7 linked regions of the Mus musculus genome follow. The protein of the gene in region 2 purifies or fractionates together with the protein of the main gene of each other region. This does not show direct contact. Links are inferred from orthologs where the notes say so. Each region holds a gene or a part of one and is shown on either strand. Other genes may lie near its edges.

The links.
Region 1: the proteins of Snrpf (region 2) and Cdc40 purify together in Homo sapiens (co-immunoprecipitation; 3 studies listed by BioGRID and IntAct, counting the BioPlex papers as one, with this or other methods). This does not show direct contact. The link is inferred for Mus musculus from reciprocal best matches to the Homo sapiens genes SNRPF and CDC40.
Region 3: the proteins of Snrpf (region 2) and Rbm22 purify together in Homo sapiens (co-immunoprecipitation; 3 studies listed by BioGRID and IntAct, counting the BioPlex papers as one, with this or other methods). This does not show direct contact. The link is inferred for Mus musculus from reciprocal best matches to the Homo sapiens genes SNRPF and RBM22.
Region 4: the proteins of Snrpf (region 2) and Sf3a2 purify together in Homo sapiens (affinity purification with mass spectrometry; 4 studies listed by BioGRID and IntAct, counting the BioPlex papers as one, with this or other methods). This does not show direct contact. The link is inferred for Mus musculus from reciprocal best matches to the Homo sapiens genes SNRPF and SF3A2.
Region 5: the proteins of Snrpf (region 2) and Ddx20 purify together in Homo sapiens (affinity purification with mass spectrometry; 5 studies listed by BioGRID and IntAct, counting the BioPlex papers as one, with this or other methods). This does not show direct contact. The link is inferred for Mus musculus from reciprocal best matches to the Homo sapiens genes SNRPF and DDX20.
Region 6: the proteins of Snrpf (region 2) and Ddx23 purify together in Homo sapiens (co-immunoprecipitation; 3 studies listed by BioGRID and IntAct, counting the BioPlex papers as one, with this or other methods). This does not show direct contact. The link is inferred for Mus musculus from reciprocal best matches to the Homo sapiens genes SNRPF and DDX23.
Region 7: the proteins of Snrpf (region 2) and Rnpc3 purify together in Homo sapiens (co-immunoprecipitation; 3 studies listed by BioGRID and IntAct, counting the BioPlex papers as one, with this or other methods). This does not show direct contact. The link is inferred for Mus musculus from reciprocal best matches to the Homo sapiens genes SNRPF and RNPC3.

What each region holds. Positions count from the first base shown.
Region 1 is NC_000076.6:40,848,510-40,852,278, forward strand, and holds part of Cdc40 (pre-mRNA-processing factor 17), read right to left. Parts: intron 2,561-3,769; coding exon 2,421-2,560; intron 1,333-2,420; coding exon 1,236-1,332; intron 1-1,235. UniProt on the Homo sapiens protein: Required for pre-mRNA splicing as component of the activated spliceosome. Plays an important role in embryonic brain development; this function does not require proline isomerization.
Region 2 is NC_000076.6:93,582,290-93,586,688, forward strand, and holds the end of Snrpf (small nuclear ribonucleoprotein F), read right to left. Parts: intron 2,039-4,399; exon of another isoform or gene 1,806-2,038; coding exon 1,741-1,805; exon of another isoform or gene 1,242-1,740; coding exon 1,175-1,241; 3' UTR 740-1,174; downstream 1-739. Other genes in the region: Ccdc38 (coiled-coil domain-containing protein 38), read left to right, coding at 153-266. UniProt on the Homo sapiens protein: Plays a role in pre-mRNA splicing as a core component of the spliceosomal U1, U2, U4 and U5 small nuclear ribonucleoproteins (snRNPs), the building blocks of the spliceosome.
Region 3 is NC_000084.6:60,563,637-60,567,405, reverse strand, and holds part of Rbm22 (pre-mRNA-splicing factor RBM22), read right to left. Parts: intron 3,641-3,769; coding exon 3,611-3,640; intron 3,044-3,610; coding exon 2,911-3,043; intron 1,789-2,910; coding exon 1,688-1,788; intron 1,054-1,687; coding exon 881-1,053; intron 36-880; coding exon 1-35. UniProt on the Homo sapiens protein: Required for pre-mRNA splicing as component of the activated spliceosome. Involved in the first step of pre-mRNA splicing.
Region 4 is NC_000076.6:80,797,296-80,801,750, reverse strand, and holds the start of Sf3a2 (splicing factor 3A subunit 2), read right to left. Parts: upstream 3,017-4,455; 5' UTR 2,946-3,016; intron 556-2,945; 5' UTR 519-555; coding exon 393-518; intron 296-392; coding exon 224-295; intron 1-223. Other genes in the region: Plekhj1 (pleckstrin homology domain-containing family J member 1), read left to right, coding at 3,577-3,670, 3,774-3,841, 3,912-3,978. UniProt on the Homo sapiens protein: Component of the 17S U2 SnRNP complex of the spliceosome, a large ribonucleoprotein complex that removes introns from transcribed pre-mRNAs.
Region 5 is NC_000069.6:105,684,574-105,688,927, forward strand, and holds the start of Ddx20 (probable ATP-dependent RNA helicase DDX20), read right to left. Parts: upstream 2,999-4,354; 5' UTR 2,855-2,998; coding exon 2,551-2,854; intron 2,161-2,550; coding exon 2,066-2,160; intron 1-2,065.
Region 6 is NC_000081.6:98,659,873-98,664,134, forward strand, and holds the start of Ddx23 (probable ATP-dependent RNA helicase DDX23), read right to left. Parts: upstream 3,018-4,262; 5' UTR 2,951-3,017; exon of another isoform or gene 2,906-2,950; intron 1-2,905. UniProt on the Homo sapiens protein: Involved in pre-mRNA splicing and its phosphorylated form (by SRPK2) is required for spliceosomal B complex formation.
Region 7 is NC_000069.6:113,609,526-113,613,294, reverse strand, and holds part of Rnpc3 (RNA-binding region-containing protein 3), read left to right. Parts: intron 1-1,991; coding exon 1,992-2,086; intron 2,087-2,178; coding exon 2,179-2,237; intron 2,238-3,769. UniProt on the Homo sapiens protein: Participates in pre-mRNA U12-dependent splicing, performed by the minor spliceosome which removes U12-type introns. U12-type introns comprises less than 1% of all non-coding sequences. Binds to the 3'-stem-loop of m(7)G-capped U12 snRNA.

The sequences.
Region 1 (3,769 bases), about 53 Mb from region 2:
TTCCTTTCCCCTTCTTCATGGCAAGCTTTACCGGAAAATGTTAGATGGCTGGCACGATGGCACTCCTGTAATGTCAACCCTGCTTACAGAAGCCTCCGTGCAGATCTAAGACTATCATATGCTGCACACTGCTGCGGTGCTCGTGCAGTGCAAAGCTTTGTGTTGTTTTGGACACATAGTGGTCCATTTTGGAAAACAAAGACTTTCAACTTTTCTACTGAATTTCTTAGCATGTACAAAGCTAGGCAGTATACTTTTGGATTGTGTTTGTTTGGTTTAAAAAGCTGCTATTTGAGTGGTTGGTTTGAGCTTCATTAAAAATTACTAAATGAGTTGTGGCTTAGAATTAGGACAGGTTTTCCAACAACTTCTGAAATGGCCCTAAATATTTGTCTGCCATTTTGTACTATGCATTCATGTGAAGTAGTGTTCTCAGAAGTGATGACTGTAAAATCAAAATATTGATCAAGTCTAAAAAACATTAAAATGCTCTCTACCTCCTACAGTATCAAATATTCAACCACGATTTAGTTTGTATGTAAAAATCAATAAGAACGTTGATTTCACTGCCATGGACATTCATTTCCGTCTTTGCCAGTTTCCGCTTGTGGAGCTTACAGTTTTAAGCACTACAGCACTAACCAGATGCCTTGGAAATAAAATTGAGGTTTGTGAAACCATGTGGTCTTCTGAAGCCTCAGGACTTGATGTGACAAAGCACCATGCCAGCACTGACCCATTCACTGTCTAAGCTCTGGTCACCAGCACGTAATTTCCTAACGGTACCGATTCTCCATGAGCCTGTGCATTATTGCCCATTCAAAGTCTAGTAGTCTCTAATCTATTCATATGGAAACAGGGTTTTCTTTAAAAGTGAATGTACTAGATAATGCCCCCGTGAGTATTTGGCTTGGATTAAATGAAATTAAGGAACCGGCCCACATGAGGAATCTACTTTAGGAAAGGACTTATGGCTCACTCAAGTTTCTTCTTTACTCATTTTTAAAAACCCACCGATTCATAAACAAAAATTTCTGTGCTTATCATTAATCATGCTACATTTTCCCTTTTAGTAGTATAAAAGGTCTATGGTGATTTCGTTAGGATGCAAATTGCTCTTAATATAATGCTGACATAACAGCAGCCAACAGTGCAAGCAATTGGTATTATATGGCGTGAGAAAACAAAACACAGCAGATTTTTATGAAAATACAGATGTTTGAAAATCATACTACCATGTAAGATTGTCTTCTCCTCCCCAGGTTTCTCTTCTTCCTGTTTGCCTTTTTTCTGCCTCTTTGCTGTGATTTCATCCAATTCCTTTTGTTCTTCCTACCGAAACAAAGCAGTGAACTTTAATGAGAGCCTGAAATCTCATCGTGCCCACCACTGCTGGCGTATACCCTCTGTAAGGAGGCTCACAAACATGTCTGCTAGGATGGCAATGGCAACTCTGCCACAGCCAGAGACGGATCACCTCTTACACAGATCACAAGATGATATTAAACACATGCTCAGTAATATTTTTAAACTGAGTCTGTCTCCTCCCCCCGCCCCAATGGCTAGACAGAAGTTCATCATGCTGTGCTAATCAAACGACAAGCCATCAGAAAGTCTGGTATCAGAGGACACTGAGTTTAGAGCACAGTCCTGTTTTTGTTGAGTTGCTTTTACATTGTCAAGACAACGGAGTAAGCAGCAATCATGGATGTGAGACCAACTTGTTTTGGGAGATCTAGGGAGGTAAGATGGGAACAGCAAATCTGCATTTATAATAAACAAGCCCAGGCATGATGTGTACAGGAAGAAGACAGCAGCATATGCATGCTACAAAGTGAAGCAGATGTAGGAACAGCTGGACCACCACCTTCCTAAGGACAAAATTATCTTGAGCTTGTCTGTCACTGTGCTTCAGCTGTGCTTCATAACTTGGGATAGTCCCTAGGCCTCAGAGACAGTGGGTTACAGATGTGAGCAAGAATTCTGTAGTTCTATTTTATACACTTCACAAGGATCTTTTTAAAAATAATATAGATAAAACTTAAGATTTTGAAAGTAAATTAGTAAGTAAAGTCACTACGGATGCCAGTGTGAGAGCAAGGCTGACCCTAGTAACGAGGTCAGGGATGGGAAGGACAGCAGGCAGGGGAACTTCTGAGCCATAGTAATGGTAATTATATTAAAAAATGGTTCCATATTCTACATAAGTCAAAAGAGTATGGGGACAATACGACAGAAAAAATGCAAATTCGGATATTGCAAAGAAAAGCTAAGAAATTTTATTATATTTTCTCAGTCAGATAAGGCTGAGAAATTCTGATGAGTCATGGGTTCTCAGGGGGAAATCTCACATTTATCAACACAGACATGACTGGTAGAGACACACACATTGGAACTGAAAGGAACACATCAAAGCTTACTTCTGAAGGTTTGGCCACATCTTTTTCATCCACATATTTTGCCCATGGTCCCAAGAAACCATCAATATTAGATGCATCATTTTCTTTGAACTTTTTCCTCTTTTCTGTTTTCTTCTGACCAGTTTCAAATACAGTTAAGCCTGCATTAACAACAAACATTAATGGAGTGAGCGCGCTGATTCTCTTTAGAAATATCAGCACACATGATTTTATATGGTTACAGTAGGCCTAAGCAATCAAACCCAAATGCCTAACTCTGCCACACAGACCCACTTGAGCTGACAAAAAGAAACAACAACTTCTTTTCCTCCTCCTCCTCCTCTTCCTCCTCCTCCTCCTCCTCCTCTTCTTCCTCCTCCTTGCTTGGCAGGAGACCCAGGAAGTAAGGTGTCACCAGTTTGCTAGTCTAGGTCTCTTGACTCATGACAGAAGCAGGGGGAGGTGTGGGAGGAAGGGAGGAACTGCTCAGTCCAGGTGCCTTCTTAATGAATCAAAAACCAGTAATGGTAGGCTTTTTGCTTTGTTTTTAGAGACACAGTCTTATGTAGCCTAGGATAGCCTTAGTTGAGGTTATAGACATATACTATGATGCCCAGCAAGATATCAGCACCTCTGAAAACAAAATAAACTAATTTATCATTTAAAAATGGAATCAAACTACAGCAAACGCTTAATAATTTATTTTTACTTCATGTATATATAACAATACAAATTAAACAGGGTTTCATAGATCTGATATAACTTCCATATGATGTTAATCTAAACTTGGCCTCCAGTGTCATCAGCTTTGAAAAGAATTGATAAAGGATGATGGTTTGATTCTGATGTCATTAGCAGGCGAGGGCTGCATACTGTTTGTATTTACTAAAGTCAAAGAAGCATTTGAGCAGCATAATCACAAGCTAAGAAAGAAAAAGGAGTGTAGTAGAAAGAAAAAAGCCTACTTGTATAAACTCAAAGCAGTGCTCACTGGGCTCTATGTTACAGCAAAGCAATTAAAATTCCATTTCAGTACTTCATGCATACTTGTAAGACAGTTTCATAATAAAGGTTATCCTTGTACAACTATCACATTTTACTTTTGTGGCATTTTATAAATAAATATTCTGATGAGCTTTGAACAAAGCTGGCTTTTCACTATAATGGTTCGTCTCATTCTAAGTACTAAGTGAATATGAACATAAATATGCTTTAAAAGACATTGAAAATCTGCTATTACAGCAATTTGTCAAAATTATTTTAAAAGACACCTAGTATAGCACTTCTCTGTTAAGAAAGCCCAACTGCCAAATTTACCTAAACATTAATCATAACAGAATGATTTGTAGAGGTTGGTGTGGTGCCAAGTA
Region 2 (4,399 bases):
CCAAGAATGCTGGACATCTACTAGGTTATACCAATTCCCTGTAACTGTATTTAGTTCAAACCTTTGGTTCATGTGAAAATTCAAGTAAATATTGACATACATATTGAAAGAAACGTTACGCTAAGGAGGATTATTTTTTTTTCTCGTTTCAGTTGGGAAGACGACTTATCTACCGTTCGAAACCTCAATCTGCAGACAAACAAGAGCTCCTTTTAGTCAGTGATACAAGATCAAAATCACAGGACGAAGAGTACTTTTTTAGTTGAACGGGATCACGAGGATACTTTCTTAGCGAATGTTTTATGTGGATGTTGGCTTTCAGTGATGCAATACTGCCCTAGCAAATTCCAGGGCCGCAGCAGACCTTTAGCTGGAAGTTTACAGGACTAGGAACAGCAACTATTTTCTGCTGCAACTCTATTGTTCACTAGTACAGGCCATGAGCTAAGCAATACTTACTTTAGGTTGTCCCTGTTGGAGACATGTATCCAAAGTCAATTTATTGATGTAACAATAGAATGGCCTTCCTCAAAGCATGAGAATTTTAATATTTTCTAAAGCAATAAGGAAGTTTACAGCTTTGAATATACATTTTTAAAATGTATTATTCTTAAAACAACTGGACAGGTTTAAAGCTTAAAAACTAATAGACTACGGTCTCAGAACAATCATGGGGCTGGTTTTCTTTCACATTAAGCTCTGAAAACCTTATCAGAAAACTTTCAAGTGAACAAAATCATACATCTTCAGCCTAAATATCAATTTGTATTGTATTTTATCTCCATAATTATTTCAATTTTCATGTTTTGACTTAGCTATAATATACATTATTTAGTCTATGTCAATATAGAAATAATGATTTATTAATACAATATATATTAATACTAAGAAAATGTTTAACTTTATGGATGTTACAAGTGGTTTGGAAACCTTAAACAACACTGCTGCTTTTATGAGGTCTCAGTTAAACCAGCGGTGGGATTACAAAAAAAAAAAAAGAGTCCCTTGAATAAAACTGAGAGGCTTTTAAAACTTTAGTTCTAAGAATTATCCATCCATTGTTTCAACATTTGCGCTTTGCATTAAATAGTCCACAAGTCAAGTTGAAAAAAAAGAACCCCAAATCTTTATTGTATAGAAATACATATATATATAAAAAAAAAAATCCAAGATGCTATTCTCTCATTTCCCCATCTTCCTCTTCTTCTTCAACGCCTCTGATGTAGAGGACATTATTACACCTGTAACAGAAAACAGTCCATTGTGAGCTGCACTCAGAACCCACACAAGATCAATCCTCAGTGCCCCATCATCAGACTGGACACTGAACTCACAGCTTGCCACTTGTCCTGTTAGTCCTGTATAGGTGTAGTAAAGACACACCACACATTTTTACCATCATCACACTTCATCTCTACGACTTAGAATGTAGGTAGTTGCTGATACCAGACAGTGAGTACAACAGAAATCCTTAGCAGCCAGACTCAACTAAAATTCAAATTTAAATCCCTGTAACCCAGGACACTGATACAGGTTACAGCTGGAGCCAGGAGATGTAAATCAAGAGTAGGAAAATCTCAAATATAAACTGAAATCTTCCAACATGTTAGTGATTTCACAAGCTTCTGAGATCTAGTTGTAGAGTACTTCCTGTTTAATGTTTAATAGGACTAATATATTTCAGCAGGTATTTCTGAGGTTAGTTAGAACTCCTTTCATACACACAAATAAGTCTGTTACCTTATTAGAACTTCGCCCAGATGTCCAGACAGCGCCCCATCTATGTACTCTTCTGTATTTGCAAGCTTTAGACAAAAAGAAAGGTATTAGTATAGCTGCACGGGAGGGAAGAGTGCAGCATGCCTACTCGGTGAGGACCCAGTGACTGAGACTCCTCCACACCAACAACTCACACTGGATCCATAAACAGTAGCTCTAAGATTATCTTCCCATCACTCTTGTAGCTTTGGATTTCATATATTCATTAAGACATGCATGGGTATAGAACTCATGGATAATAAAGCTCGTTTCAAAGTTATTAAGCCTTCTAGATGTTATTTCTATCTGCTATTAAAGTGTCTCAAAGAAGAAAGCTTATTTGAGTAAGTTATAATTCTTAAAATTTTCTGAAAATTCAGCTCCAAAGAACCAGACATTAACTTTTCTTAGAGTAAAACATTATGAATCATATTAACTTGTTCAAATGGGTGTACAAAAGCTATGGCTAAAATATATTAGCCAACAACCAAACCAAAAAAAGTTAAGATTTTTAAAATCTCATGTACTCAATGGGGATGGGGGTGGAGGGGTGGGGGTGTGTAAATCAAGAATGATCTTTAGGGTTACTTTTGCAAATTCTATTCTAATTTTAAATGAAAAATCTTTAGCTATTTCAGCAGCTAAAATAAACTAATTATTTAGTTATATTATTTAGTTAGTTAGGGTGGGGGGGATTCGAGACAGGGTTTCTCTGTATAGCCCTCGCTGTCCTGGAACTCACTGCCTCCCGAGTGCTGGGATTAAAGGCGTGCGCCAACACACCCGGCTTTAGCTATCATTCTTACAATTAAAAAAAAAAAATATCCACCAGTGCTATATGGGGTCACCAAAGGCAGAACAAGAGAAGAGAAGGAAGCGTCTTTCATAAGCAGGCAGTGGACATAGGTAGATGTGGCTGGCATAAAGCATTTAAGACATGCAAGCTGTTTCTCTGTAGGAAAACAAAGCAACCAGAGAACATGTTGTCACTAGAACAAATGTTTGTGAGATGATTTTGTATATAACTCCTATCAGAAGGAATGTAATTGTGTGTGTATGTAGATATTTATGTTTTTGAGAAAGGGTTTCTCTGTGTAGCTCTGACTGTCCTAGAACTCACTCTGTAGACCAGGCTGGCCTTGTGCTCAGAGATTAACCGGCCTCTGCTCATAACTGCTGAGATTAATGGTACACATGGATTAATTATTTTTGACATTTCCCTAACACTTAAATGGCTTCTAAGTTGTATCTATACTAATGACCCAAAGTTTAGAGCTTACTAAATTCAAAAGCCTCACTACTGTTGAAAGGCTTTCAGTGACTGCCATCCCACCTTCTACTCTGGCCTTTTGTCTGTACCTCAAACACCCTAGTACCCCCCCCCCAATCCCCGTGGACAGAAGCTTTGCATCTGCTGCTCCTTCCAACAGATATGATTTTGTCCCAGATGCCAAAGGTCTCTTTGGAGGCGAGGCTGTTCAGTACTGCACACTCATAACCCTGGTTTTGCTTTACCGCCATGCTGTGGATCACTCCTACGCATCTGTGGTCCACAACCATCTCCCACCACTGGAACAAGCTCAAGGATATGGACTTTGTTTTGCTCACTGTTATATTCATGGTACCAAACAGACAACCAATACCTTTTGGCTAACTGAAGCAACTCAGAAACCGGGCTCGCTCAGAGATACATTTTATACCTCGGGACACTACATTAACTGCAAGATCAACTATTAGGTGGTTCATTTGTTTCAACAGGGTTTCATGTATTCCAGGTTGGCCTGCAACTTCCTGTGAAATGGGGATGATGTTTTAATTTCTAATCCTCCTGCTTCTATCCCAGGAATGACAGAATCACAGGCTTTTTTTCACAGAATCACACCAAGTGACAGGGATGAAACAAAACATTCTGGGGTTTTCAGTGTATTCATAACATTGAACTCTCATTTCTAATCCCACACTATATTCACCACTACAGGCATACTTTCCAGACTTTTCTACAGCTTTTGTAAATAACTCGTTTCAAGAATTTTCCAGACCAAATCTCTCCATATTCTTGTTAGCTGGATTTCTAGTTAATATATCCACCTAAGTAACCTTTAAAATCTGGGCAGAAACTACAATTAAACACACAAAAAAATTAAAAACAGACAAAGTGGCACATGCCTTTAATCCTACCACCCAGGAGGCAGAGGCAGGCAGATCTCTGAGTTAGGCCAGCCTGGACTACATAGCATGATACAGGCCAGCCAGGGCTACATAATGAGACCTTGTCTTAAAAAATACAAGTAAATAAATAAATAGAGGATGTGAGTACCTTGTCTTAAAAAATACAAGTAAATAAATAAATAGAGGATGTGAGTAACATATTTCTCCAAAGATGAAAGCACATGGTTAATACACACATGAAAAGGTGCCCAATGTCATTGGGGAAATGCAAGCCAAGAGGAGATACTATTTCAGATCAGGAGAATAATATTTATACATTAAAAAGAGGAACCTCGTAGAAAACAAGTGTTAGTGCAGATGTGGAAAACTGTAACTCTTGGGTACCATCTGAAGGAATCAAAACCACACAGCTGCTATGAAAAACAATATGACATCTACTCAAAAACAACGAACCAGTAATCCGACTTGTGTA
Region 3 (3,769 bases), on a different chromosome or scaffold from region 2:
CAAGAGGGTCGTCTGGGTCGGTAGGCTTCTCATGTCTAAGGTTCGCAAGTGGGAAGTGCATCAAGGTGAAACAAGGGGAAATTTATCACTCTAAAGTAGCTACATGGCAAGAATCCCTCAAATGCCTTTCAAATTACAAAATATCTGTACAAAAATACTGTTACTAAACAACAGCAAATACCAAGGGAGTACTATATCATATATAACTTTAAAAAAAAAAGATTTATTTATTATACGTAAGTACACTGTAGCTGTACCTCTTCTGGGTACAGTGTACTTACTACAGAAGAGGGCATCAGATCTCATTTCGGATGGTTGTGAGCCACCATGTGGTTGCTGGAATTTGAACTCAGGACCTTCGGAAGAGCAGTCAGTGCTCTTAACCACCGAGTCTTCCTGATGCTCTAAGTAACCCACTTAAACTGCTCTAATAGAATCTGACTAAAGCTACGGACTTCACCTCAGAAGAAGGGCATATATTTAGGGGGTGGTTTTACAGTTAACAAATCATTAGCTAAACCCCTTACTCTGATGCTTGGCAGTCTTGGTTGAAACGCAAGTAGCCTTCAGGTGGTCTTGTTTTGACCTCAGCTATACTTTGCTGTTCACACCATTTAAATGGACACCAAATTACCATAGTAACGTAGAACTTATTAACTTAGAAACAGTCAGTATGTACATTATATAACATAGCAATTTATTTCCTCAAGGCTTAGTTTTAAGTAAAAAGTATAATTTAGCCAGGTTCTTATAATGTAAGTTTTATGACAAGAGATGCTCTACATGCAAACAGGCCATAAGAGCTGTAGTGTTAAAGTATGAATTTAAGCTAGAGTCTCCCCCACTACTCAGGAGTCTGAAAGTGAGGCTCAGCTCTTACCTGTATGGGCACTCCTCTCCTCTCTTACACTCTCCTTTCACCCAAAAGGAACAAATGTGGGGCCGATTCCTTTTGTAGTAGGGTGTGGTCCGGGCCAACTTGAGGAGCATGTCACTGGTGGATGTTGCTTTTCCTAGCATCCCAACTGGTCGTGTTCCATCAGAGTTAGAAATCTGCACGAAGAAGACAACTTTATAGGCTGTCAATTCATTAGAATTTTTATCAAATACAAAACTACATCACAAGGCCTGGATTCAATTCCCAGCAGCACGTGTACACAATCTATTTCCCCAGATAAACAATGGCATTAAGACGGTAGCCAGAGGACCAGGATGTCTGGTGTGAGATTGTTTCACAGAAATGACAGGGAAGCTACACCCATGATATCTCAACAATATAGCTGTCAAAACAAAGACACGAACTATAGATACACTAATTCAAAAAGGGGAAATGTTACGAGTCCCAACCTTAGTCAAAGAAGTACAGGCAACTAATGACTGTTGAGAATTAGTCTCTCTGGAGATGAGCACCCTAACTGGTTAGTCAGTACATAGTGGTCAGCTTTGAAATCATATACAGATAAGCCGCATTAAATGAACCCAGCAGGTGGTGAGCAAGCAATTGTGCGTGTATGTGCGTGTGTGTATGTGCGTGCGCGCATGCGCACACATACAGCACACTAATAATCAAAGAAAAAGAGGCCATCTTTTACTAGGGGGGCATGGGAGAGGTTGAAGGGAGAAGACACAGGAGGGGCTGGAGAGAGGAAGTGATATAATTAGATTTTAATGAAAATAAAAAACATACTTCTCTTTCCATATTTTGGGTGTAATATTCTTTATTGACATCTGACTTAGGCATGTCATCTTTAAATGATAATCCTGCATCACGAACCTGGATGGGTAGGCCTGGTACAAAGAAATTGGGGAATTAAAAACTTGGTAACATATTCATATTCGATGTGTATATAAACTACATCACCCTTCCCTTCTCAGCCCTGGTTGGTGGGAGCTTTAAGCGATGCCCCAGGGATTAAGAGCACATGCTGGTCTGCAGAGGACCAGAGTGCAGTTCCCCACAGCCATGCAGGGTAGCTCACTGTCGTTCCAGCTCCAGGGGAGCTGACAGCCTTTTTTCTAGACTCTGCCCTATATTCACATGTGTACCCCACCCCCACATACACACAATGAAAGACAAAAATAAATCTTTAAAATCAGATAATCAACCTACTTGGTGATAGTTTACAATGTTTTAAATCTATTTAGCACCATTGGGCTAATAACTGCTATAGAGAGTACCCTAAGAAACTGTCCAAATTCCTGTGCTGACATAGAATTTGTTTAGAAAATTGTTTCAAAGAATATACTTTAGGGCCAAAGTAAGCTAACAGAGTATCTAGCTTTTAACACAATATACTTAATATATACATATAGAACACAATGGTTTATTGTTATATTGGTCTTGAAGTTCCTATGGATGGCCAGTTATGTTTAGTAACACTGTACTCCAGGCCTAAATGCTCCAAACAAACATATGAATAATATAAAACAATATGCAGCCACAACGCCCCCCTTACCCCCATTGGTAGGTAACTTTTTCTGAAACGAAAACCTCATTTACATAAAATTAAAAACAATCCTAGAAGCAAGTGTTTTGAAAGAGAAGCAATACCTGGTCCTAACAGCTCGTAGCATACTTAGCCCAGGAACTTGTTCGGGACTGTGGAAAGTTTTAGATCAAAGGGATCCAGGCAAAACAAACAAACCAACAGTATCAAAGGAGCAATGCCTTTTATTCCAGCTGGCACAGAGATGGCGGGTAGGCCAGTTCTGATTTCTTCCCAATTGCTCCTGACGTTCCTACTACTGCTCAGGAGGTCTTTAGAGCAGCCTAGTTAGGATATGTTTCCTGGGAAAAGCAGGCCACAGTAGACATTCTAGTGTGGGATGGAAACCAGAGAAGTGGGAGGCAAGGGGCTGGCCTGTTGGGCCCCTATACACTTGAAGATCTAGTGAGTGTGGCAAACATACCATATTCAAGGTCTAACAGGCAGGTCTGACAAACATTCTTCAATTTACTGCAGGTTTGGCACACTTCAGTCTTCTTGAAGCGCATGCGGACCCCAGGGCACCAGCGAAACACTGTGAATGGCCTGGCACAGATCTGAACACACAGCAAGAGACACAGAATCTTAAATGTTCTAGCCTGGACTCAATTCAGATTGAGTAAGTATGGAGAGCTGGCCTTAGCAAACAGCTAATCCACAAGCCAGTTGACCCTATCCCATTTCCTTTCTTTTTTCTAGACGTTAAAAAGCTAGAACAGCATAGAAATAAACATTCAGAGTCAAAGCTTCCCACCTTACATTTTTTAATGTAAACCTCACTAGAAATCTGACTCTTTGTCTTTCTGGTAGGGATCAAGGCAAGTGAAGCAGGAACCATCTTCCAGAATACTGTGGCAGCCACAGTCCTCCTCCTCAGCTGAAACACCCGGCACACAAACTCCCGGTGTGCGGTGCACACAGACGCCTGTTTATGAGCTTACACTAGAATGGTCACTCTCTTACCCTCCACACTCCTTGTCAGCTACTGACTAGATCAACCGTACATGAAAGCCGTGAGCATGGACTTTGAATAGAGGGCCTCAAAACTCAGCAAGCACAATGCCAGTTTGATAGAATAAAGAAGAAAGGGGATAAAGAAAATGAAAGTTAATAGACATACTTACTTTGCATTCTTTTCCATATTTTTCTTTGGTCTGAAATAGAAAAGAACTGGAATTATGGCACAGAAAACAAGCACACAGCCAGACAAGCAAAGCCAACTCAGGTATCTGTTTCCCCTACCACCTCCAAGTACAAACTATGGTGTGTGTCTGGAGATCCCT
Region 4 (4,455 bases), about 13 Mb from region 2:
CCACAGTGAGACCCTGCCTCAAGGGCTGACCTAGATAAAGCTCACTGCTTACCTGGCATGCTAAGCCCTAGGCTGAGCTCTGATCCCCAGAATTGAGAAAAAAAAGAAGTCAATGAGACCAGACCAATACTGAGTGAGTGGGCTGGCTCTGGGTGGCAGGTCCAAGGCCTACCAATGTCACCTCACTCGAGTATAACAGTGGAGAAAAAGCAGGGGCAGATACCTCATTGTTATGCAGAGTCAGGCAGAGTTTGCACTCATAGGATCCCAAGTGGTTCTTCATAAAATACGGGTCCTGGGAGTGAATAAATGTACCGTTAGACTGCATGAACCAAGGACTGAGGCATGTGAGAGCTCTGTGGATGTGGGAACTGGCACCCCCTCCCCCCGACCTTGTTGATGTCAATGGTTTCCAGGGCCAATTGGCGCAGACGCTCTCTCCGATCCCGGTTGCTCTCAGAGGAGGAGGCTACGCCCCCACTCCCAGTCTTGCCTCCAGGTCTGTGCTGAAAGTCCATGATGCAGGCCTGGGTGCTTCAGGGGACAGGAAGAAACCTGGGGGAGTAAGGACAGCTAAGGCTCAGAACACTGTACATGATGCTAGGACGAGGTAGCCCAGCAGGCAGGTCATTCCCTTCGCTGAACTCCTGATCCTCCTAAGAGCTGTGACCACAGTTGAGCCACCTCTCCCCGGTGTTGTTGTTAATTTTTCTCATTATTATTATTATTATTAAGAGAGGATTCTCTATGTAGTCATGGTTACTCTCTACATAGATCAGGCTGGCCTGTGTGCCTGCCTTTGCAGGCATTAAAGGACACGCCCTCCTCCACCTGACACATGGCATATGGAGTGCTTGGTACCAAGGGTCCCATCTTTGAGGCTCAACCAAAGCCTATAGGCAGTGTCATCTGATGACAGAACACTTTAGACTACTCAGTGTCAGCCCCAGCCCTTGGTTTAAACCTATAGGTAAATTCAGAGACAGTACTCAGGAAACAAGTGGAGGCAGTCCTTGTTAATATTGCTGGAGCCTCCTGCAAATTTGACTTAAGAACCTTGAGGGCCAGGTACCTAGTTACCTCAGTGTCACCACAGAGTGTGTCTGGGACAGACAGGACACTGATACCACTGGCTGTCAAAGAGAAAGAGGCTAGAATGCAAAGGATACAAGATGCTCTAGATGCCGAGAGAATGGCTGAAAGATGTATATGGAAGTGGTGGGGCAGAACCAGCTTGTCGGATGTTTCATACTCAGCCACTTAAGGACTGAAAAGAGCATTGTCTACATCTTTGAAAGCTACTAAGAGACACATTCCCAGAGATGAAGTTGGCCAGATGCAAGAGCAGAGTCTAAGGGTGGCAGCATGGGCTTCTCAGAGCAAGAGGGCACCCGCAACAGCAGGATGGAAAACCACTTCAACCGCTGGCAAAGACAACTTTCAAGAACATAGGACTCTATACCTGGCCTCTGCAGGGAGCCTGGGTATCCAGCCACAGATGTGAGGGTGCACCTCAAGGGTGGAACACTTGTCCATCATGCATAAGGTCCCCTAGGGGTACATGTTTGAGGTTGAATGTGTATGGGTACCCACTGCAAAAATGCAGTTAGTTCATGAGCTTTGGAGGGAAAACAAACACTAGGACAAAACTGGCCTGGGCAGGCTGGAGAAGTGGCTCAGCGGTTAAGAGCACTGACTGCTCCTCCAGAGGTCCTGAGTTCAAATCCCAGCAATGATGTGGTGGTTCACAAACATCTGTAATGGAACCCGATGCCCTCTTCTGGTGTGTATCTAAAGACAGCTACAGTGTACTCATTATAAATAAATAAATCTTAGAAAAGCAAAACAAAACTGGGGCCTGGGTGAGCACACTGCTTGCTCTGTGGATGGGGCACCAAGCTCTGCAAACGCCCACCAACAGTTCCCAACCCCAGGAAACACAGAAAACGTAGGGCGTGGTGGTGTACACTTCTCATCCCATTTCTTTATCCAAGGTAGGAAGATGGTTAGGTTAGTGTTAGAGACCAAACCGGGCTGTGCAGTGAGATCCTATCTCAGATAAAAGAAAAAAGGGTGGCGGTAGGCTCCAGGGACTCTGATATCCCTTTCTGGACCCTATGGGTACCCCACTCACACACAAAGCTCCACACAGACACATTAAAACAAAATCTTTAAAAACGCGGGGAAGGGCATTTATCTGCTTGCTGACTACTGCTGCAACACGACCACCACGGCAGACCGCACCTTCATACCATCAGCCAAAATAAACCCTCGATTCCTTAAAACCAATCAAAACAGCCAAGTGTGGTGGCTCATGCTGTAAGTCCCACTATGCGAGAGAAGGCAGAGGCATGGCAATGTCTGTGAACTGGAAATCGGCCAAGTTTCCACACCGAGTTGCAGGTCAGCCCCAGTTAAGCAGTGAGACCCTGTCTGAAATAAATGAAAAGTTGTGCCGATGACTGGAGGGGCTCACACGTGAAACTTGGGACAGGAGGCCAGGACGCAGGGACGGGAGATGCGCAACCTCACGGACTACCGTAAGATTACCGATGAACGATCAATAAGGACAGAGACGTGGTATATGTTAAGGTAATGGTCTGGGAGGAGGCCTGGTCCCAGGACAAATCCCTTTTATGTGCAGATACCGTTATCTTTCAATCCCAGCAAGGGACCTGCTCCGGTGGACAGGAGCAGTGGTCGCCAGGGCCCCGATTAACGAAGGTGGAAACGGAAACAACCAAGGAGGTCAAAATACACGCCGAGACGCCACTCGGACACCCCGAACCACCCTGGAGGCCACAGAAGCGCCACCCAAGCCAGCAATCACGCGGCGACCCAACGGGCCTCGCGAGAGCGCGCTCTCCCGGCGGGCGCGCGCCGATCCTGAGGCAAGAGGGCGGCCGCTGCCTCTCCCCGTCCCGCCCCCGGGCTTTCGCTCCCACCTTCAAGCCTCCCCGACGGAGCAGCCGCCACCGACAAACTGTGCAGCTCCTCACCAACGCTAAGGCCTCGCTATCCGGGTTTAATCTCCGCCAAGGCCGCGGTTTCGCCGCGCGCGTGCGCACGACCGACGAAGCGATCCCTTCCGGGAGCAAAGGCGTCGGCGTTTCGTGTGTGCGCAGGCCCAGCGGATGGACTTCCGTCTTCGGTAGGCGGGAGAGAAAGGAGCGTCGGGGCGCAGAGTGCGCGTGCTCACTGCAGCGACCGCACAGTTTCGCTCCGCCCTAAGTCTAGCGGCGCCGGCTATCGTGACAAGAGGAAAGCGTTAGGGTTCACCGGCCCAGGAAGGCGCTTCGCTCATCGTGGAGTGCTCTGAGTCTAACTTACACCTCACGCTTAGTATGTCTGGCGGTTATTTAAGGACGGGCCATCTCCTTCCCGTCTGACTCTGTTCAACCGCGCAGACCCATAAATTAGGGCCGCGCAACCAGCCCAACAACGCGCAGGCGCAGTAACCGGGTTGGGACTTCCGAGATCGCTCTCTGAGACTTTTGTGGCGCTGGCTGCGGCTTCGGGGAGGACGGCGGCCGAGAGGCAGGGCGCGTGTTGGTTCGCGCGGATCCGTGCGGCGGGATGCGGTACAACGAGAAAGAGTTGCAGGCGCTGTCCCGACAGCCGGCAGAGATGGCGGCCGAGCTGGGCATGCGGGGCCCCAAGAAGGGCAGCGGTGAGCCAGTCGGGGCTGCGGCTGGGGCACTTGGGCGGGCCGGCGCGGTTCCTGGGTGGGCGAATGAGAACAGTTCCGCGCTGACACCGCCCTGTGCCTACAGTGGCCAAGCGGCGACTGGTGAAGCTGGTGGTCAACTTCCTCTTTTACTTCCGCCCGGACGAGGCCGAGGTAGGGGCGTGGGGGGCGCGGGGGACCCGCGCGGCCCGGAGGCCGGCGCTCATGGCCGTGTCTCGCGCAGCCCCTCGGAGCCCTGTTGCTGGAGCGCTGCAGAGTGGCCCAGGAAGAACCGGGCGGCTTCTCCATCAGTAAGTTTCCATCCCGGACTCTGCTCCGCACACCCGATCCTTTTTACTCCCTTAGGAGCCTACGTTTGTCCTGGATCCCGCGTCCGCTGGTGGCCCAGGACTGGCCCAGCTATCACTCAGAGTGCCCACTGGGTCTGGTTCTCGCTTAGTTTCTTCTCCGACCCCTCTGCCCGTTCCCAACTGAGAGAGGTGCAGTCTGCGAACGTGGGGTGTATAGCAGGAACAGTCTCTGCCGCCCTCTCTGCCACGGGTAGGGTACGGGCAGGCTTTAAGGCCTGTCTCAGCCTTCTTCCCTAACGAGAACTTTACAGTATCTTGTAGAGATTTGGGCATCATGTCTACCTATATTATCCAGTGGGGTTCTTTATCTGTACCCCTCTTTTCTCCTTCTTGCACGAGTGCACACGTGTTTTGGGGTGTGAGTATGCCAGTAAGGCCAGAGGGAAACTTGAGTAGTTGGTTCTCATCTTCCACTAT
Region 5 (4,354 bases), on a different chromosome or scaffold from region 2:
ACAATTAAGAACATACTAGACCGGGTGTGGTGGTGCACGACTTTATCCCTGGACTTGAGAAGCAGAGGCACTTTGGATCTCTGTTAGTCCCTGGCCAGGCTGGTCGACAAAGTTGGGTTCCAGGACAGAAACCCTGCCTCAAACTCCCTCCCCCGCCCCCCCAAAAAAAACAGGGTTTTTGTTGTCATTTTTTTTATACATACATAATGAATATATACATACATAACATATATATACATGTAATAGCAAGTAATAAATTGTAAGATTTTTTTTTTAATATATATATCAAATAGAGAAAAGAGAAAGCCCTGACAAGGGGAGTGGGTTTTTTTTTTTTTTTTTTTTTTTTTTTAAATATTTATTTATTATTATATGTAAGTACACTGTAGCTGTCTTCAGACACTCCAGAAGAGGGAGTCAGATCTCGTTACGGATGGTTGTGAGCCACCATGTGGTTGCTGGGATTTGAACTCCTGACCTTCGGAAGAGCAGTCGGTTGCTCTTACCCACTGAGCCATCTCACCAGCCCGGGAGTGGTTTTAAATGAGATAATCAGAAAGCCCTTTTACATCGAGAGTGTCGGCACACACAGAAGGTTCTACTACCCTAGAAACAGAAATCGATTGCCTCAGTTGAAGACTAGTCTAGGTTTCAGGCCAGCTAGGACTATTCCAAGTGTGCCTGCCTCAAACAAACGTGTTAGGAGCCCCATAAGGAGGTAACATTTGAGAAGAAACCTAAATGTATAGCACAGAGCTAGCTGTGGGACACACTAATGCTTTAGGAAGAGAAAACACAAATTCAAAAGTAGTAAGATATACATGAAGAACAGCAGAAAGACCCACATACTCTCTGTTGTTGTTTCGAGACAGTTTCTCTGTGTAGCTCTAGCTGTTCGTGAACTCTCTCTGTAGATCCGCCTGTCTCTGCCTCCCAAGTGCTGGGATTAAAGGTTTGTGAGAGGACTATATCTCAAAGCTAACTGCAAAGGTTAGGTACCAAAGGCCCCAAGCACCACACAGTACAAACTGCAATGTAACTACTGGAAATGAACATACTGGTTTTAAAAAAAAAAAGACTAGGAAATAAGACTTTTTAAAAATCCCTTAACTCTGGGCACACATCACAGATTTGGGTACTTTATTCTCATTCTCTCTCTCTCTCTCTCTCTCTCTCTTTCTGATTTTCCCAACTATAAATTATTATGTAGTATTACTTTGATACTACATAATACACAGGCACTAATTATTTTAATAATATACCTTAAAAATATGATTTTTACTCAAGTTTGGGATTTTGTCTGTTGCCAAGTATTACAAAGCCAAAACTCTCAACACATCCTAAATCTCAAATAAATTAGCCAATGTACTTTAAAAAGTATATTCATTATCTCCCACGGTTTCGTGGATATAGAACTCAAAGATTCTAGACAACAAATACAAGAATCCTGGGTTTAAAGGAATCACATTGAAGATCGACCATCTCAAAAGCCCCCTTTTGAAGTCAGCCATCACTACACACTCCAGACGACAGTGTCAGGATCACATCTTATTCACTGTTTAATCCCTAGTGCCTACTATAGTATTTATATGTAACAATGGCTAAACAAAGCTTTTTAAAGAATGATCCCCCAAACCCAAAGCTGAGTAGGACAATCTTAAAACCATATCCCGAGGCAACCTAGAAAATGAGAGATCAATACAACACATACACAAGGCTTTAAGAACCACCTGAAATTTCTGCCATAGCACAGTACTTACTAATCCAGAACTTCTACCTTCTATGTCTAATCCCACTCTAGTCAGAAAGTAAATGAATTTTTAATTGTACGATTCCAACTGACAAATGGTCGAGATGTACTTATAACAGAAAATTCCAACTTTAAAATACTGGACGTAGCCTTGGCCACAACTCACCGACGTGACCATCTAGTTTACTTCCCTAACTTGCATACGCTTTGGTCCGGCCTCTTCAAACTCACCATCTGGAAGAGTTACTAGTTTGTCACGACTCTCAATAGAGTCACGTGCTACACACCCCCTTCCGGATCCTGAGTTAGACTCACCTGAGTACTATAGTTTTCAAGAATCAGAGAGTCCAGAGCAATGGTGGAGAATACACAAGTTTTTCCAGTGCCCGACTTAGCTTGGACAATTAAATCTGAGGAAGAAAAAAATTATATATATTACATATTATTACCTAGATTTACTGATGCCACCAGATACCAAATACGAGAAAGGAGAATGAAGAGGTTCTCTGCCATGAGGACCTAGTTGCCACCTGTATTTTTGGTTGACTCTCAAACGCGCAGGAGGTGTGCTTGATGCCCCAATCTCTTAACCACCGAGCTACCTCCCCAGCCCTTTGCGCCCCGAATCTCTGCCGCTCACCTTCTCCAACTTGGACTCCATGCTGGAAGAAAGTCCTACCCTCAAATTCAACTGCGCGCCTTAGAGCCTGGCTTAGCCCCGCGATGGCGCGGAGCCGGAGCTCTCCGGGGGCCACGCCGTCCCCTCCTTCCCCCCACCGCCGGCCGGCCCCGGTCCTCACCGAGCCCGCAGCGCCCCAACGGGATGGCCTTGAGCTGCACCGGAGAGGGTCTCTCGAAGCCGGCCGCCCGCAGACCCTCCAGCACCGGTCGCGACAGCAGCAGCGACTCGAAGTCCGCGGGCTCCGCCAGCACCACGTCCCCGGTACGTGTGCGCGGCCCGCCGATGTCGTGTGCGGTCCGCTGGGTCCACGGGGATGCCGGAGTCGGCTCCACAGCCTGCACCGGCGCGGCCGCACGCTCCGCAGCCATAGTGGACTCGGAGGTTGTCAAGGCCGCCGGGACTTCAAACGCCGCCGCCGCCATGGTAGCCGCGCCTCCAGATCTCGCGATATTTAGACTTGAGGCGGGGCTCCTGGGAGCGAGAAGGAGAAAAACTTTATTGGCAGCCTCCCGGAGAAGACACGGACACGCCTGGAAGCGGAGGGGAAGAACGGAAGTCGGAGGCTGTCACTCTAGGAGGGAGCAGAAAAAAAAAAAAAATGTAGCCTGAGAAAGAGGCGGGAAGAGCGAGGGAAGATGAGGCTACCGGTGTGTTGCCGCCTGCGGCCTGCAGAGGGCGCCGCGTGCCCTTGGTGGGCGCCGCCCGCTGCCGGCCTCCCGCGGCTCTGAGTGCCTGGCCGCGCGGCGGGGCTCCAGACCCGAGCGCCCAGGACGCGCTTTGTGACGCAGCTCGCGAATCGGTCGCCGTCGCCTGGGCTTGGAGTCGGCTCCTTGGGTCAAGCTCGGCTGTAGCCACGCCGAAGTCTTCGCGATCCGTACCCTGTCGCGTGACGGAAGTCTCCTGATATTTAAGTGGAAACCTGGACTGCACGCCAACTCCTAGGCTCTGCTTGATCGCTCTCTCGGAAACCCTAGGCTAATAGACGTCTCGGGTCCAACGGATCTTTTGTGTGCCCTTCCTCCGTTATGGGGTGGGCAACTAGCACACCACTTTCCCTTCCTCTAGACCCACTCATGTGTCACCCTGTCAAAGAGGCTTTTCTTGAAATCTTGAGTGGTTTCCATCCTGACTGCTTCCTGGCCTTTCCCATTATTCCCACCACTATCCCCGAGTTTGATTATTTGGTTTGATTGGCTTAGTTAGTTGGTCTGTTTATTTTCTAAATCAGAGTCTCCCTATGCCGCTCAGGCTGGCCTCAAATTGGAAATCCTCCTGGCTCAACTTTTCAGATACTGAGATGACATGTGTGTGCCACCATACCTGGTCAGGTTCTTCATGATACAACTACCTAAAATGTTTATTGTCCACCCCCCACCACCACCCCCACACACACTTTCCATGAGGACAGAAAGCTATTCTGATTTGTTCCCTTCTGTCTCTGGTAGGAGAAACATAATCTGGCACGTACTAAATACTGTTTTTTGAAAGAGCTCTTAGAACAAAGCTTTAGTCATGCTTCCAAATGTAAGCATATCTTTATTACTTTTCTCATTGATGATGATGGACTGAGTCTCAGAACCTGTAAAAGAACCCCAATAAATGTCCTTGGCCATGGTGTCTCCTTACAGCAATGGAAACCCTAACTAAGACATGTTTGCTTAGAAATTAACAAAGCACTAAGCAAACGTCCACTATCCAAATGAAGGAAGAGGAACTAAAGATCGCAAGCTTCCTCATAGTTGCCCACATCTTTCACCCACCCAATCCACAGATGACAAATCTGAGGATTCCTTTTTGCTTTGCCTTCACCCTCTTTCTATCAAACTACTGTCAAATACTTGTGTCTCCAAATGTCTCATCCACTCCTTTACCATCTCCATAGTATCTACCCTGGGTCTTCTGGTCATCCTAACTGTTGCAAA
Region 6 (4,262 bases), on a different chromosome or scaffold from region 2:
ATTATGCATAAGTACACTGTAGCTGTCTTCTGACACACCAGAAGAGAGCATCAGATCTCACTACAGGTGGTTGTGAGCCACATGTGGTTGCTGGGATTTGAACTCAGGACCTTCGGAAGAGCAGTCACTGCTCTTACCCGCTGAGCCATCTCACCAGCCCCCTGGCAACTGTTCTTGAACTACAAAAACTAGTAATTATTTTATTCGCAGGTGACTGGGCTAGAGTATTGGTGTCCTAAGCATTTTGAGGCAATCCTTCTATCCAGTGCCAGTGACTGCCATATTGCCTAAGAAGGGAAAATGTTGGGCTGGAGAGATGGCTCAGCGGATAAGAGCACTGACTGCTCTTCCAAAGGTCCTGAGTTCAAATCCCAGCAACCACATGGTGGCTCACAACCATCCGTAATGTGATCTGACTCCCTCTTCTGGTGTGTCTGAAGACAGCTACAGTGTACTTACATATAATAAATAAATAAATCTTTAAAAAAAAAAAAAGAAGGGAAAATGTTAAGAATGAAAAAACAAAATGAACAAATAGCGTTTTCTGAAGGCTAAGATGACCTAGTTTTATCTCACAATTAACTAAAAAAAGTGAGAGACTGGTCTAAGTCAGTCTATCATGCATTTCACAGTATGTCTCTCCTACAGCCCTAGGAAAACAGCCCATCCTTGGGTTGTTTGGTTGTTTTTTTTGTTTTTGGAACACCACCTTTCTATGGTGGCACTTGGCTGGCCTGGAACTCACTATGTAGACCAGGGTGGCCTCAAATTCACAGAGATCTGCCTTGATCTGCTTTTAATCCCAAGTGCTGAACACCGTCTAGTGCCAGGAGCTGTTCTGGGTCCTGGAGACGACACCGTAACTAACACAAACTCGCTGACTTCATGAAGCATGAGTCCAGTGTAACACTGTTTCAGCTACTCAGAGTGAGCTCCAAACAGGGAAGGAAACGGAGTAACATGATATGGAGAGATGAAGAAGAGGCTCTTGGGGAAGACGTCTTAGGTTGACATTTACACTGAGAGCTGACAGTGGAAGAAACAGCCATGGGATGATCAGGAAAGAGAGCTTACAGATGGAGCTGGCAAGCACTGAGGGAACAACCAGCTCTGCACGTCGCTCTCCAGAGACTGTGGCTAAGGGGTACAGACCCGCACTTGGGAGGCAGAGGCAGGCGAATTTCTGAGTTCGAGCCCAGCCTGGTCTACAGCGTGAGTTCCAGGACAGCCAGGGCTGCACAGAGAAACCCTGTCTCGACCCCCCCCCATCTTCCCCCCCCAAAAAAGACAAGGTCAGGGGCTTGGAGAGATTGGTCAGTGGTTAAGAGCACTGGCTGATCTACCAGAGGACCTGAGTTTGGTCCCCAGCATCCACATGATGGCTGGCAAGCAAGCACCTGCAATCCCAGGGGATCCTGACGCCTTGCTGTGACCTCCTCAAACACTAGGCACTCAAGTGGTGCACAGACATAAACACATGAAAAACACCCATACATACCACCACCACCCCAAAAAACACAAGAATGAGGAGAAGTCAAATCATGAAATTGTTAGAAACCAGGGCAAAGGTGCTTGGATTTCAACTTAAAACCAAGAGTAGGAACTAGAGATTTGGGGGGGAAGTGGAAGTTACTGGTGACTTTCACTACAGCTGTAGGGAAAAAAAGGAAAAGGAAAACAAAATAAAGACAGGGGGCTGGGGAGATGGCTCAGCGGTTAAGAGCACTGACTGCTGTTCCAGAGGTCCTGAGTTCAAATCCCAGCAACCACATGGTGGCTCACAATCATCTGTGATGGGATATGATGCTCTCTTCTGGTGTGTCTGAAGAGAGCTATAATGTACTCAATCCACTAAATAAGTAGATTTTAAATAAGAAAAAGAAAGAAAGAAAATAAAGAAGACACTAAGCTTGAATGGCGTTTGTCTGGGACAGAATGAGAACTGTCAATAGAAGCAAAATACACTGTTAGGGGCCCGTGCAAAGGCATGTGACTCTCAACGTCATCTCAACGAGAACATTTGGAGAACTTTAAGCAGAGTATAATACGACCAAAAATTACATTTGAAAAGAATTACTCTGGTGACTTACAAGGAAATATGTAGACTTGGTTTTTGTTTTTTTTTTTTAATTACAGAAAATGCTTAATAGTCTACAAGTGTAATCATAGCACTAGGAAGGTGAAGGCAGTACTGAGCGTCCAAAGACAAAATGGACTAGGCTGCATACTGAATTCAAGGCCAGCTTAAGCTCCAAAAGACCCGGGCTCCAAAAGACCCTGGCCGTGCTTCCCAGTTCTCTGTAGGGCAAAGGCCAATTGTTTTCATTTAATTGTTCATCAAGCGCTACTATATATGCAACATTCAGCTGTAGGCCCCGTGGAAACTACAAAATGAAATTCTGTCCACAGGAAGCAGCAGATGGCACAAGACACGCCAAGATAAGAACGTTCAGGCGAAGAATCCAAAGTTGCCGGTCCTTTCCATTCGTAAAGAGGATATGGAAGGGCCCACAGAGGAAGTGGCTCGTTTTAAAGTACGAGTAGAATTTGAAGATGTGCAACTGTGGGTTAGGGTTAGAACTAATCTCCGGCCGAAGCACTAGTTGGCAACCCCGAGCCGGAAGGCATGGGGTGGGTTCTGGGAGCACATTAGAGTTCCTGTCTGGCCGAAGTAAGGAAACAAGAATTAAGTCAGACTGACGTATAACAAGGGCGATGTCCACGGGCCAAAGTCTAGGCTCATAATACAGTCCTGGAAGTGGCCTGTGCCCTGGGCAGCCAACACTGCTCCCGGGGCCCGCGCCCCTTTCACTCTTGCCCGCCGGAGCTGCCCTGGCTCGTGCCCCTTCCCTGAGGCGTTCTTCCCCTTCCGGGCTGAGGCTACGGCTATCTTCCCGCTCCTCACCCACTCTCCAAACTCGTGGGAGCCGCCTCCACCGCCAAGACTCACCACCCCGCGCCTGAACCGCCTAACGCGGCCTCAACGTCGCCGAACAGTCGCCATCTTTCGCGTTTCCAGATCACGGAGGAGCACCCAGGCCGCGCGGCAAGCCGGGAAAGGGAGTTCCTGGGCCTGCACCACGCGAGCTGACGAATAGGCCCTGAAAACTACCAATCCCAGAATGCACGGCGCGAGGGCCGGCCAGGCCGTAAGGTCTTCTGGGTAATGTGGTTTGCCAAAGGTTCGGTGTTTGTAGGAGAAAGAATTTTCCAAGTGTTGTCTTTCTACTTACAAGGTTCTTCCGCAGCAGTCTTTCTGGAATCTTCTAGTAGGTATTGCAGTTGATTTCAGTCAAAGCTGGCAGCTTTCAGCGAGAAAGTTTATACGGTAACAAATAATTTGCTTTTTTTTTTTTTTTTAAAGATTTATTTATTCATTATATGTAAGTACACTGTAGCTGTCTTCAGACACACCAGGGAGTCAGATCTCATTACGGATGGTTGTGAGCCACCATGTGGTTGCTGGGATTTGAACTCTGGACCTTTGGAAGAGCAGTCGGGTGCTCTTACCCACTGAGCCATCTCGCCAGCCCCCCCCCTTTTTTTTTGAAAAGTGTTTTTTATAAAAATTGTGAGAGAGATTATTGCCTCCGTGGATGAATGGAAGATAATGAACTAAAGATTAGTTCACTGGAGTAGCTTAGTACTTCACAATGAAGGTAGTACAGTTTTCACAGTAGAACTACTCCAGTCACAGGAGTAACCTTGGGGCCCCGGCAGGATGAATGCCTGAACAACCCCAGGGTACCCACTGTCCCCCTACTCCCAATAAATAATAAACTAACATTTCAGAGGTTTCCCTGGAAGGACTTCCCCCTCAAGTATCTTACTATTTATTCAACATTCCTCATGGGACCTTGCTTCCTCGTTTCCCTGGTCTTCAGGAACTGCCCACTTGGGCTACTTGTTATTGTTGATGTCTTCCTTCAGGTTCTCCATACATCAGTCCACCGAATTTTTCTTCTAGTCGTAGACCCACTTCCTTTCTCTTGGGTTCAAACAGTACCGTCAGCACCCGCTGAAACAGAATACAACATTGTGCGAGGTAGGATGGTTGAGATTAACCAGGGTACCCACTGCCTCCTTTTACATTTTCCATCCTCGGGTTTGCTTTAATCCCACATAGTTGTTGGTCTTTCTACTTTAAATTTATTCTATTTTTATCTGCATTGGTGTTTTACCTACATGCATGTCTGTGTGAGGGTGTCAGATCCCCTGGAGCTGAAGTTATAGACAGTTGTGAACTGCCCTATGGATGCCGG
Region 7 (3,769 bases), on a different chromosome or scaffold from region 2:
ATCTGGTGGCAGAACAAAGGCATCATGGTAGGAATAACTAAGAGCTCACATCTTGATCCATAAGCTGGAGGAAGGCAGAGACACACTAGGAATAACTCAAGTCTTTTGAAGCCTCAAAGGCTGCTCCTGCGGACACACCCTCCAAGGTCATACCTCCTCACCGTTCACAAACAATTCTGTCAACTTGGGACTGTATATGCACACATACGGGCCCATGGGTCCTGCGGACACCCCCTCCAAGGTCATACCTCCTCACCGTTCACAAACAATTCTGTCAACTTGGGACTGTATATGCACACATACGGGCCCATGGGTCCTGCGGACACCCCCTCCAAGGTCATACCTCCTCACCGTTCACAAACAATTCTGTCAACTTGGGACTGTATATTCACACATACGGGCCCATGGGTCCTGCGGACACACCCTCCAAGGTCATACCTCCTCACCGTTCACAAACAATTCTGTCAACTTGGGACTGTATATTCACACATACGGGCCCATGGGTCCCATTCACATTTAAACAAACATGCTACTAAATGATTTCTTTTTTATTTTAGTATTTTTTTTAAAAAATGAGTGATTTGTCATCGTTGTGTTACAAATCCCTTTCTCCACAATAATGGGGAGAATCAGCCTCAAATTAACATCTTCACATATAAAACCTAGTTTCCCAAAGCGGATTACTGGCAGTAAATATGAGGAACTGTAAAGGAGTTTGGAGACCTCTGTCTGAAATTCCTGGCTATTGATTTTGAATGCATCATCCCTACATGTGAATATGAAAGTGGCTAAGGATTTGAAAAATACATTTTCTTATTTATTTATTTATCCATTCATTCATTCTGCATCCCACTCACTGCCCCCTTCCTGTTCAACCCCTCCCACAATCCTTCTCCCTTTCCCCCTCCACTTCTCCTCTGAGGGGGTGGGGGCCCACTCGGTCTCCTCCCATTCTAGTACTTCAAGTCTCTGGGAGGCTAGGCATTTCCTCTGTCACTGAAGCCAGATGAGGCAGCCCAGCTAGAACATACCCCATATATAGGCTACAGCATTTGGGATAGCTCCCACTCTAGTTGTTTGAGATCCACATGAAGAACAACTGCACATCTGCTAGATGTGTGCGTGCATGGAGGCATAGCTCCAGCCTGTGTGTTTTCTTTTCTTGGTGCTTCAGTCTCTAAAGGGTCCAGGTTAGTTGATTCTTTTAGTCTTCCTATGGAGTTTCTTCCTCTTGTTTTCAATAAGAGTCCCTAAACTCCAACTACTCTTTGGCTGTGGGTGTTTGCAATTGTCTGAGTCAGCTGCTGAGTGGGACTTCTCAGAGGACAGCCTTGCAAGGCTCCTGTTTGCAAACATAACAGTATCATTAATAGTGTCAGGAATTGGTGCTTCTTCATAGGATGGGTCTCAAGTTGGCCAGTTATTGGTTGACCGTTCCCACAGTCTCTGCTCCATCCTAATCCCGGTATTTCTTGTAGACAGGATAAGTTTTGGGTCGAAAGTTTTATGGTTAGGTTGGTAGCCCTATCACTCCACCAGGATTCCTGCCTGGCCATAGGAGGCAACCTCCCCAGTTCATATCTACAGTGGTATGAGTCTCATTGATTCTTGGCACGTCCCCTATCCTGGGTCTCTGTCTCTTCCTAGTGATGCCTTCCCCAACCTCCACCCAGTCAGTTGCAGATTTCCATTCATTCTCATGGCCACCCACCCATCCTCCCTACCCCTACTCCCCTCCTGATCCAGCAGAGTATTTGTATAAGTGGTTATCACATATTTACGATAAAGTGACTCCTCAAAGAACTTTTAACATGGCTTTGGGATAAATTTTAGTTCTGTGTAATTGAGAAATATTGCTACTGTTGTCTGCTGTAAACATTTTTATAAAGCTTATTTTTGCCTTTTTAGCATTTACAATGGAGTGATATAATTTTACTTAAAAGTTACTAAAAAGATTGTAATTTTATATTTTTGTCTTGTTTTCTTCTTAGAAATGGAAACACTTTCAGTTTTTAGAAGTTATGAACCTGGTGAACCAAACTGCAGAATTTATGTAAAGAATTTAGCTAGACATGTTCAGGAAAAGGTAAGGTGAAATGTGCATTCAATTTTGTTACTTACTTTTCCCACTGGTTTTCTAATTTGTCTTTTTTTTTTATAAAAAATTTCTAATTTTAGGACCTTAAATTTATATTTGGAAGATACGTTGACTTTTCTTCAGAAACACAGCGGATCATGTAAGTGGTAGTTCTAATTTCATATTATGTTTTATCTGTTAGAAATTCATCACGTTTTGTTATGTTGACTTTTCTCTTTAGTGCTAAAATTTGATGAAACATCTGTTGTTTTACATAAAAGTCCTTTTAGAAGTTTAGAATAGGGATAGACAAATTTCTATATATATGAGCAAATGAAATTCTTAATATTTTAAATTAGATCATACTTGTTAGTTCAGTGTTTTTCCTACTATGAAAGCTGCTATAAAGTGTATATTAAAAAATGTTTATGGTTATACTTCTAAATCCTTATTTATAAACGCAAACTTTCTACTGTTTTGTGCCTAAGCTTTTGACACTAATGTACTTTTAATGTATTTAGTACTTTTTCACATTGCCTGAGAACTACTTGGAGAGCTTGGTTAAATGGTTTCCTTGGCCCATCTCCAAAGATAGGTTTTCTAGTTGTGTCAGGCCTCATGGATTTGCATTTCTAAAAATGACTTTAGCCATTTAATTTTATCGTAATTTTAAGTAAAACCAATCTTACCTGCCTTACACATTTTTGGATGTAATTTTGTTCGCATGTACAACTACGTACAAGGTGTATACTATAAAGGTTATATTTTCAGTATTACCTTGCCCATAGTTAGAATTTAAGTTGAAGGAAAAATTCCATTTGAAAAAAAGGTTATAGAGCCCCAAATGATTGTTATCTATAAGACCAGTAACTATATTTAAAAAAGAAGAAATTTTCACTTTATTTTTACTTGTGTGTGTGTGTAGAACACACATGTACATAGGTGGATCATTATTCTGTGTGATATACAATGCTCCTTTTTTTTTTTTACATTTGTTTGCTTGTTTGTTTGAGACAAAGGTTTGTTTATTAGCCTAGTAGTTGGCAGGTTGGTGAGTCAGGCTGGCCAGAAAGTCAGAGGCCATGTGTTTCTGCCTCTCTAGTTTTGTAATTACGAGCATATATCAATCACGCCCAGCTTTTTGTTTTGTTTTGTTTTGTTTTCTTTCTTTTTTTCAATGCGTGTTTAAAGGATTGGTCATGGTCCTTTTACAATCAAAGCAAGCTCAACTTTTCAGGTTGAGCTGTTACTTAACCTCATTAATTGATAGTGTTTGTTTTATATTTTTTAGTTCATAATATTAGATCATATTTTCATGTTATTTTTATATATAGCTCTTAAGTTTTCTCTCTGAAATGTTTATATATGAATACACTTACTGTAGAATGAATAAATGAGATATTAGGAGGATTAAACTAGGAATAACATGTGACTTAGACCCTATGCTTGGAAGAGTCATTCTGTTTCTAGGTATCATTAGTAAAATGTTAGCTTTGAATATCTGTTAAGTCCCCTATATACTCTAAAAGTTTGTAAATGTTTATAATAATATAAAGCCAATAATGTAAATCAATTACTTGGTTTCTCTTAGCCTTCTATTTATGTATTTATTTTTAAATCTGTTGAGTGTATGGTATTGAACTAATGAAAGGTATGTATAAAAAGATAAATTAAATTTGCTGGGTGGTGGTG